Saccharomyces cerevisiae S288C: one gene and its partners. The protein of the gene in region 1 purifies or fractionates together with the protein of each later gene. This does not show direct contact. Each region holds a gene or a part of one and is shown on either strand. Other genes may lie near its edges.

Region 1 (3,446 bases):
CTGTTTTTCCTTTGCAGTTCTGTAACTTTGTCAAGTATTTTGCTGTACTGTTTCTTTGTTTCTGACAAGATTTCTGCATCGTTCTTAGCCTGTGGAGATGTATCAGTAGAGTCGGTTGTAGTTGGATCAGGGTCTTTAGAGTTATTTGTCTCCTTTTCTTTCTTGGAGAATATTTTAGTAACCCAACCATCCCAGGACCCTAATTGGGTTTGAGCTGATGTCAGACTATCCATTTTCCCCTTTACTAGTTTTAATTGAGCCACGGCTTCATTATACTCTGTACTATAGAGGGGAATGACAAATTGTGGATTATCTTGTAAATGTATTTCGCATGTATATAGCCAATCTGGACCAGATGCGTTGTAAAGGACGGTAGTGGATGGTTTGCTACAGATCGCACATGGTTGCATGTCCTTTAGAGCGACCTTTCTGGCAACGTACTCATTTATCATTGTATATATACTATATCGTGGCACTTCTGGTGTGCCTTATTCCCACTATATTGTTAATTTATGGCGATTTAGTCATGTTCTGCTTAGGACTATAAAAAAAAAAAAGAAAAAAAAAGGTAGAGTTTATTCTGGAGGGACTAATAATCATAAAGGCAATGGTGCCTAAACCTCTCACACGTTAATGTCGTGAAAGCCAAAATTCTTGTTTTTAATAGCTTATATACCAGTGCCCTTCATTTATATTTAACTTTTAAATATTAAGTCTATAAACGCTTTAGGATATAAGAAAATAAACTTTTTGTATCTACAGTCTCCTTTGAGCTCTATCCCAGGCAGAACGAGTCTTCTTGGCCCCACGTCTCGAAGTGCTATCTTCCAGCTTCCTCTTTGAGCTGAATATACCAAAATCTTCACCACCGATAACGTTCATCCTTGCATTTCTTTCTCGTTGCTTTTGCTTCCTTTTTTCAGCTTTATTTGTAATATTCAATCTGGTAAAATTATCTTCTTCGAATGAAGTGACTCTACGTTCCTTCTCTGTGTCTCTCAAAGATTTGATACCGCCTCTTCCATGGTTCACAATGTCAGCACCAATAGATGCACTCCAGTCCGGTTGGTCCGATGACTCTCTAATATATTCTTCCATGGCTTGCATACGCGATTTGTTACTACGATCTTTGTGTTCTCTGGCATCGAATCTATCTTCAAAATGCGTTTGTTGCGGTGGTAGAACAGCCGTAATCTTTGGTGGTTTATACACGCCAGTCTCATTGTCATCGTTTTCTTCCCCGTTTTCTTGCTTAGCCGTTTCCTCCACCCTGTATGCTGATGATTTTTTATTTGTGTTGATAATTCCAGAGGTATTTGGCCTGTATGCTATTTCATCCTCACTAGACTCATCATCTTCGCTATCGTCGTTGCCGCTATGATTCACTAAGGTAGATTTTTCCAGTGCACGCTTCTCAGCGTCTTTATATTCCTTTTCCATTTTCACATATGCTCTAGTCAGCTTGTCCAATTGGTAAGCCAACTTTTTTTCTAGTGGTTTAACACCACGCTCTAATACCACACGGTGTTGAATAGAGCGTTCACGTGCATCCATAGCAGAAGGATCTTTGCACTCGTCGTCTAGCCTATTGCCTATAAGCATCAATAGAGAATTTATGTACCCTAGCATGCTCCCATTTTTTAAGGATAGCAGCGATACTTTCTCAGCAGGCTTCTTAGCGTCGTAAAATAGATGCTCATGTAGTTGGTTACTTTCAGGAATCTCATCGGTCGCAGAATTACTATAAATCCCAGACAACCTCTCCAAGGATTCTGATGTCGCAGTGAGCGAGCCGTTGATATCTTTTAATAATGCATTAAGTTCAGACATTCTTGGATTTGTGTGTTAGTTGACAATTTTAATTTCTTCATCTCTTTTGACACTTTAGAATGGTATAGCTCATCGGTTTCTTTTCTTCAACCTTGCAGGAAAGGCGTAAAAAATTTTATGTCGTCGGCAACGGTTCTAGTAACAATCCGATGAAAAATTTTCCGGACAGCGATGAGATGCACTTTTAAGACAATTGAATGGATTAGGTATCAGTTAGAGAAGAACTTGGTTTTCGTATCTGGCGTTTTTATCTTTAGTCAGTAGTCAGTCTCGTATCAATACTGATATATACAACGAAACAATGCCTCAAAACGATTATATCGAGCGTCACATCAAACAGCATGGTAAAAGATTAGATCACGAAGAAAGGAAACGTAAGAGAGAGGCAAGAGAGTCTCATAAGATTTCTGAACGGGCCCAGAAGTTGACTGGTTGGAAGGGTAAGCAATTTGCTAAGAAGAGATATGCTGAAAAGGTATCAATGAGAAAGAAGATTAAGGCACATGAACAATCTAAGGTCAAGGGTTCATCCAAACCATTGGATACCGATGGTGATGCTTTGCCGACATATCTATTGGACAGAGAACAAAATAACACAGCCAAAGCTATTTCTTCATCGATCAAACAAAAGAGGTTGGAAAAAGCTGATAAGTTTTCAGTTCCGTTACCAAAGGTTCGTGGTATAAGTGAAGAAGAAATGTTCAAAGTTATTAAAACAGGTAAATCTAGATCCAAGTCATGGAAGAGAATGATAACGAAACACACTTTTGTGGGTGAAGGTTTCACTAGAAGACCAGTTAAAATGGAAAGAATCATCAGACCAAGTGCGTTGAGACAGAAAAAGGCAAACGTCACTCATCCGGAATTAGGTGTAACTGTCTTCTTGCCAATTTTGGCAGTTAAGAAGAATCCACAATCTCCAATGTACACTCAGTTAGGTGTTTTGACTAAAGGTACCATTATTGAAGTTAACGTTTCGGAATTGGGGATGGTTACTGCTGGTGGTAAAGTTGTCTGGGGTAAGTATGCTCAGGTCACAAACGAACCAGACAGAGACGGCTGTGTCAATGCGGTTTTGCTTGTATGAGCAAAAAAGTGCTCCGTTTTTTTTTTTTTTATCTCGATGGTTCAAATTAGGTTTACTTTTAATTTAATAATACGATATACGTCTACAAGCACAAAAGAACAGGTATATAAAAAATGTACGCTCTGTCCTGTTCGGGTTTCTCTTTTTACTTCTCGTCATTCTCTGTACAATATAACAAATCAAGAATTTATTATCCGGTTCTTTTTTCCTCACGACAAATAACCGATACTCTCCGTGTGTAGGTGACTGGCAAGAGAGGGATTGCCTAGTACGCTCGTTTCAAGTATGTACCTCACGAGAGCAATTTCAACTGTAGTATAATACCCAGGTCACTATTCAGTTTTAAAATGCAAGAAAATTAAAAAACAAAAAACGTATGGTTGTAAAAAGCAGGGCACATTATATGTATATAAATAAAAAAAAAAATTAATAAAATCTAAAAAGAGGATATAAAAAATAAGAGGCGTAAGGCAATATAAATTATTGGTATCATGCTCCTTTTGAAAAGGAAAACCTCCTCTTATGGCGA
Region 2 (3,260 bases), on another chromosome or scaffold:
CAACGCTTAACACTGAATGGTCGATCCAGCAGTGGGTCGACAAGCTAAATGATTATATAAACGCTATAAACGTAAAACTGAACCTTTTGGGTTACAAGATCATTCGGATCAACCACGGGATTGGTAGAAACGCAGTGACTTTAAAGGCCAAGCAGAATTTTGAGTCCTTCGAAGATAATACAGCAATAAGGGCTCACAATAATGATTATGCAGTTTTGCAATCGATAGTACTTCCGGAGAGTAACAGGTTTTTCGTATATGTTAACTTAGCATCAACAGAAGAGACTAAGTTAGCCACAAGGTTTAACCAAAACGAGATCGAGTTTATGAAATGGGCCATAGAACAATTCATGATCAGTGGAGAGACTATCGTTGAAGGGCCTGCACTGGAAACCTCGATAATTGTGAAGGAAGTCAACCGTATTCTAGTAGCAGCTACAGGAGACTCAAACCTCGCGAAATGGCGTAAGTTCAGTACGTTTACTGTAGGGTCCACCAATCTTTTCCAATTTCAAGAATTAACAGCAACGGACATCGAAGACTTACTACTCCGATTATGCGAACTGAAATGGTTTTACAGGACTCAGGAAGGGAAATTCGGTATTGATCTTCGCTGTATAGCAGAACTAGAAGAGTATCTAACATCCATGTACAATTTGAACACTTGCCAAAATTGCCACAAGCTGGCAATTCAAGGTGTCAGGTGCGGCAACGAATCATGCCGAGAAGAGAATGAGGAAACTGGAGAGAATAGTCTGTCTCAAATTTGGCATGTTGATTGTTTCAAGCATTATATTACCCATGTAAGCAAGAATTGTGATCGTTGCGGTTCATCGCTAATCACAGAGGGCGTATACGTTATTTAAACTAAAATACATAGCTTTCCGTGTTATTTACAAGACTTATCTATACAAACATTTGATTGCCCGAAGTATTTTAATCTCCTAAACGGCATGTGATTGAACACGGTTCGAGGTTTATACCACTTGTATTAGGCATATATGCAATTGCAATAACTCATTTTAGGTTCCCGTTTTACCTTATTTGCTAATACCCCTTTTTTCCAAAAAGTCCTTAGCTTCGTTTATCTTAGTGGCCAAAAATGGAGAACCACCTTTGTCAGGATGATTAGCTAACATAATTTTCCTATGAACCTCTTTCAACTTTTTTTTAGTCAATGTATTTTCTGTCAAATTCAAAATCTGTAGAGCCTCTTTAGAATTCATTTTCGGGTCAAATCCGCCTTTCAAGAAGGCAGTAGTGGATTTTCCACCGTTAAGTCCCTTCGATATTGATTTATATGCACCGGCTGTAAAATATAAAGTTAAAAAGGCCCCAAAACCTGTTATCACAGGATGTTCTCCCATGTAGTTCAAAGCTTGATCAAAATAAAGGTCCATTCCGGTCTTTTGACCCTGCGAACCATTCTGGATACCGACATTAACACCAGCTCCATCAACAGTAACGTTCGCAGAGCCATTAGTTTGACCAGGAATGGGTAGTTGTGGTGCCTCAATAGAATTACCAGTATTACTTTGAGAACTCATGATATTGTGCGGGTGGAAGTGTTTATGCAACCTTATTAAACTGTGCTCGGCCAGTGGAGACGTACAAATTCCACTACTATTCGTACTTTGTCTAGTTCAAGGGTCTCCGTCGAGTGAGTCCTACGTTGATTCAAATGGCTTTCACATTTGGTCCGATTCTCGCTCTTTAAATTTTTTGCCCGCTCGCCTCGAACTCAGCGGAGTGAAAAATTTTCACTCGTCTTTTATTAAATAATGTATTTCTAAACTCATCTCATCTCATCCCACCCTATCTCCAACTTACATCAGTTTCTATCTTGATCCGTGATATACCACTTTTAAGTTCTTCGACTTGTGATTTGAAAGATATTGCTATTCAAGCGTGAGTTGTCCATATTGTTACCACCACCTCCCCGTGATTTACATTCAGAAACTAAAAGGAAAAGGAAGTAGAAGTTTAGTAAGTATAAAAAAATGAGAATTTATCAATGCCATTTTTGCTCATCCCCATGTTATCCAGGTCATGGGATCATGTTTGTGCGTAACGATGCTAAAGAGTTTAGGTTCTGCCGTTCTAAGTGTCACAAGGCATTCAAGCAACGTCGTAACCCAAGAAAACTAAAATGGACCAAAGCTTTCAGAAAGGCTGCCGGAAAAGAATTGGCTGTGGATTCTACCTTGACTTTTGCCCAAAGAAGAAATGTCCCTGTTAGATACAATAGAGAGTTAGTTGCCACAACTTTGAAGGCTATGGCTAGAATCGAAGAAATTAGACAAAAACGTGAAAGAGCCTTCTACAAGAATAGAATGAGAGGTAACAAAGAAAAGGACTTCTTAAGAGATAAGAAATTGGTCGAATCTAACCCAGAATTATTGAGAATCAGAGAAGTTGAAATTGCCAGAAAGTTGGCTAAAGAACAAGAAAGAGCTGAATCAGTATCCGAACAAGAGGAATCTGAAGAAGAAGAGGAGGATATGGAAATCGACAGTGACGAGGAAGAGGAAGAACAATTGGAAAAGCAAAAGATTCTGCTAAAGAACAGAAGAAGAAATACAAAGAAAATTGCTTTTTAGTTAGAACAGAACCGGGCTAATTGCCTCTTTCCTTTCTTTTCTCATACTTATTTCATGGGATAAATAAGAATCACCTGTATACTATTATTTACATTACATAACATTACAATAACTATTTTCAAGGGTCCTCTTACATTCTTATCAAAGGTATTATATAATCTCAGTATATGCCAAACGTCTGACTTAGGAGTTAGAGATGTTCAGAAACTTCTCACCAAGTGGTGATTTGACAAATTCACAGAAATCACGAACGTCATTCCTGGATAGTATCTTAAAATCAATGATTTCAAAAATTGGCGGACTTTGGTGTATTCCATACCATACCCCAATGCGAACATCCAGTACCTGCCCATTTATCAATCTCAAATCATCTTTATGGGCTGAAAATAATCTTTCGCTCATATACAAACGCATCTCCTCTGCGCCATTTGTTGAATTGAGGCAATGAAGATTTCTAACTATCATTTGACAGAAAAAACCTTTAATGAATTCTTCATCCGATTTACAGAACAAGAAATCTACTAATCGAACAACAATCCTGAATCTTTTGGACGGATGAATAATGTTTGGTTCCATTCCGTTTCCACCGTAAACATTGTTATGAATATCGTAATTCGTTGCTATTTTATCCTTCAAACATTTTAAGTCTAGAACTAACTG
Region 3 (3,140 bases), on another chromosome or scaffold:
TCCATTGGGTACTTGTTTGTTGGTGTTTCTATCGTATTTTGTACTTTGTATGGGTGAATTTTTGTAGCATAAAAGCTTGTCTTCAGCATTGGCCTTCTTAGGTGTCGTTTTCATTTCATCTGCACACTCTTTATTGATGCTTTTCATGGTTTCTTGTTTAACAGTTTCTATCATAGGTCCACTGACATCCTCTTTAGGATCATCTAGAGTGATGACATCCTTCTCTTTCGTGAGAAACTTATTACTCTTTACCGTAGTTGTATTCTGGAAAAAAGATAGTATGCCTTTTTTCTTAGTGTCGTCCTGTAGAGGAATTGATTTGAGATGTTGCTCCATTTTCCCTTTTCCTTTCGATTCTCTTCTGTCTTGAGGTTCACTAAAACATATAATTCTCTGTAACAGCAATAACAGAATGTTCTTCTCCTCAACGAATTGGCTGGAAAAATGATGTATTTCAAGAAGTGGAACCAATAAGAATTTTATTTTTTAGTCAGTTCGCAAACCTTTTGGTTTAACGATGTAGATCTTTCTTTTTTTCAGTTGAAGCCTTTCACGCGTCCGAACGCGTGAGCATATATGCAAGCCGTCTGACACTATAGATCGCGCCAGGTAGGGAACCACTTGATCCAGCACGATGAGCCCGACAACTCAAAACTCCCTTCTTCTGTATCAAAATACTTTTCAGCATATCCATATCATTCTTCCTTTCTCTTCGTAAAGGCTGACTGGGCGCCGGGGACCCGCTAGTTTAGTAGTACTGTGAATATCGTCATTGTCGTACTGAACGATTATATATCGATCATTTTAATTAATGAAGTACATATCAAAAACTTGACTGGTATGAGTAGAAAGTTCAATTAAAAGGGCTGGAAAAATGGGGGAATAACAGAGAACATGAGCAAGGCTACGTGTTCCTTTGAGGGCTGTCATAGTGCAGTTATTACCATCAACGATGATAACATAATAAACTTACCAGAGCAGGTGCACAGCGAATTCAAGTTGCTGGAAAACAGAACTATGCGAGATGCTACCCCCAGCGAGAGCAACTTCTTGGTCGTCCCTGATGTTTGGGACTTTGATAATGTTGGTGTATCTAGAGAAATTCCTTCTTCTATATTAGGGGATTTGAGTGATAAGAGTGATTTTGTCTTTGAGTATGGTAATTCCAGCTGGAAGATTAAAAAGTGCTTGAAATATTTGATATGCGCTGATTGTGATAAAGGTCCTATTGGAATAATATGTAAGGTGCAAGATCAGACAAAGAATGAAGAAAGAGTTTTGCATCTACTAAGCTTGCGAAGCCTTCAAATTATGGGAAGGAATTAGTTTGGTAGGCACTAGAACAAAAATAGGTTGCCGCCACCAGAAAAAAAAAAGAGTAACCAACCACCTATTTCACTGGCATGGGCCACCTATAACAAGCTATAGAAGTAGTTCTGGTTTACATTACTAGCATCACTTTATGTAATAATATAGGCATTCTGGACGAAATCCTAATGGATGAGCATTACCCGTTTTTTCCGAGGGCCAAACGAAAATTTTCGGAAAATTTTTATTAATTAAAGATTTAAACCCATATTCCTTTGTGCAGATTTTTTCTTTTACTGTATGTAACGCAATATTCAATATTGCATAATTAAAAGAAGCCTCATCCCTCGTTGGTCTTATAGTATAATTACAAGAAGCAATACGACAGAGTATTTGGAACAAGAGCATAATTCAACTAACTCTAGAAAACAATAATGGCTACCAGGACTCAATTTGAAAACTCCAATGAAATCGGTGTATTCTCCAAATTAACGAATACTTACTGTTTGGTTGCTGTTGGTGGTTCTGAAAACTTTTACTCTGCATTTGAAGCTGAATTAGGAGATGCTATTCCCATCGTTCATACCACTATTGCTGGTACGCGTATCATCGGTAGAATGACCGCGGGTAACCGTAGAGGTCTGCTAGTTCCAACCCAAACTACTGATCAAGAATTACAACATTTAAGAAATAGTTTGCCGGATTCCGTTAAGATTCAAAGGGTAGAGGAAAGACTATCTGCCTTGGGTAACGTCATCTGTTGTAATGATTACGTTGCTTTAGTGCATCCAGATATCGACAGAGAAACTGAAGAATTGATAAGTGATGTACTAGGCGTTGAGGTCTTCCGTCAAACCATATCAGGTAATATCTTAGTTGGGTCATATTGTTCTTTAAGTAATCAAGGTGGGTTAGTGCATCCACAAACAAGTGTCCAAGATCAAGAAGAATTGTCCTCCTTATTACAAGTTCCTTTGGTGGCTGGTACCGTTAACCGTGGTAGTTCAGTTGTCGGTGCCGGTATGGTTGTGAACGATTACTTGGCAGTTACAGGTCTGGATACTACAGCCCCAGAATTGAGTGTTATTGAAAGTATTTTCCGCTTGCAAGATGCCCAACCAGAATCCATTTCAGGTAACCTACGTGATACTTTGATTGAAACCTACTCATAGATGTCAGGTACTCCTGAGGGGATTCCCCTCCTTCCTCAAGTCTGTTTACAGTTGTATGCGAAAGAGTCCCCATGTTGCAATAATCTTCTTACGTATCATTTGTGGTATTTTTTTTGGTATAACAAATATTTTTTCTTAGGTTTCTATGCATTTTAATTTTAGTTGTATGTATATTATGTACTCTTTTATTTTTTTTTTTTTTCTTATACCTATGGGTGACTATTCATTGCAGTTTAAGTAGGCGTCTTAATTGTAACATGTAGTCACTTTGTTCGAAGCATATGTAACGGGTTTCTAAGCAAATTCTTTGCATAATATGGATTTTCCGTCCGCTTCTCCGACTATTCTGACAACTTGCTCAGTTCCAAGTATCTGTTAGACAATATAGAACTTCTCCAAGAAAAATTGCACCGCACGTAGACCATTTGAAGGCTTTTTTGTCTAGCTGCTAGGACATACTATTGTCTCCACCAGAACCCGGAGAGTAGTATCTCTTGGCAAAGATTAATAAAATCGAACAAAGCTAATAGAACACCGGGGGTTGTGCGGTAAGATTTTCACAAGCGGTACAGAAGTGAGCCGTAAAATTATATATATATATATATATATATGGTGTACAACAAGTCAGCCGTCCATTTATGTGCTATCAAGCGAACTACG

The links.
Region 2: the proteins of NSA2 (region 1) and RLP24 purify together in Saccharomyces cerevisiae (affinity purification with mass spectrometry; 5 studies listed by BioGRID, with this or other methods). This does not show direct contact.
Region 3: the proteins of NSA2 (region 1) and TIF6 purify together in Saccharomyces cerevisiae (affinity purification with mass spectrometry; 6 studies listed by BioGRID, with this or other methods). This does not show direct contact.

The regions. Positions count from the first base shown.
Region 1 is NC_001137.3:412,865-416,310, reverse strand, and holds NSA2 (rRNA-processing protein NSA2), read left to right. Parts: upstream 1-2,131; coding exon 2,132-2,917; downstream 2,918-3,446. Other genes in the region: VFA1 (Vfa1p), read right to left, coding at 1-452; small subunit rRNA maturation protein LCP5, read right to left, coding at 757-1,830. UniProt on the Saccharomyces cerevisiae protein: Involved in the biogenesis of the 60S ribosomal subunit. May play a part in the quality control of pre-60S particles. Under normal, rapid growth conditions, high levels of NSA2 would allow the progression of pre-60S particles through the ITS2 processing.
Region 2 is NC_001144.5:164,537-167,796, forward strand, and holds RLP24 (ATPase-activating ribosome biosynthesis protein), read left to right. Parts: upstream 1-2,000; coding exon 2,001-2,600; downstream 2,601-3,260. Other genes in the region: Smc5-Smc6 complex subunit NSE1, read left to right, coding at 1-866; PAM18 (Pam18p), read right to left, coding at 1,041-1,547; TEN1 (Ten1p), read right to left, coding at 2,784-3,260. UniProt on the Saccharomyces cerevisiae protein: Involved in the biogenesis of the 60S ribosomal subunit. Ensures the docking of NOG1 to pre-60S ribosomal particles. Activates and recruits ATPase AFG2 to cytoplasmic pre-60S ribosomal particles.
Region 3 is NC_001148.4:591,672-594,811, reverse strand, and holds TIF6 (translation initiation factor 6), read left to right. Parts: upstream 1-1,742; coding exon 1,743-2,480; downstream 2,481-3,140. Other genes in the region: RLF2 (Rlf2p), read right to left, coding at 1-336; guanine nucleotide exchange factor DSS4, read left to right, coding at 895-1,326. UniProt on the Saccharomyces cerevisiae protein: Binds to the 60S ribosomal subunit and prevents its association with the 40S ribosomal subunit to form the 80S initiation complex in the cytoplasm. Is also involved in ribosome biogenesis.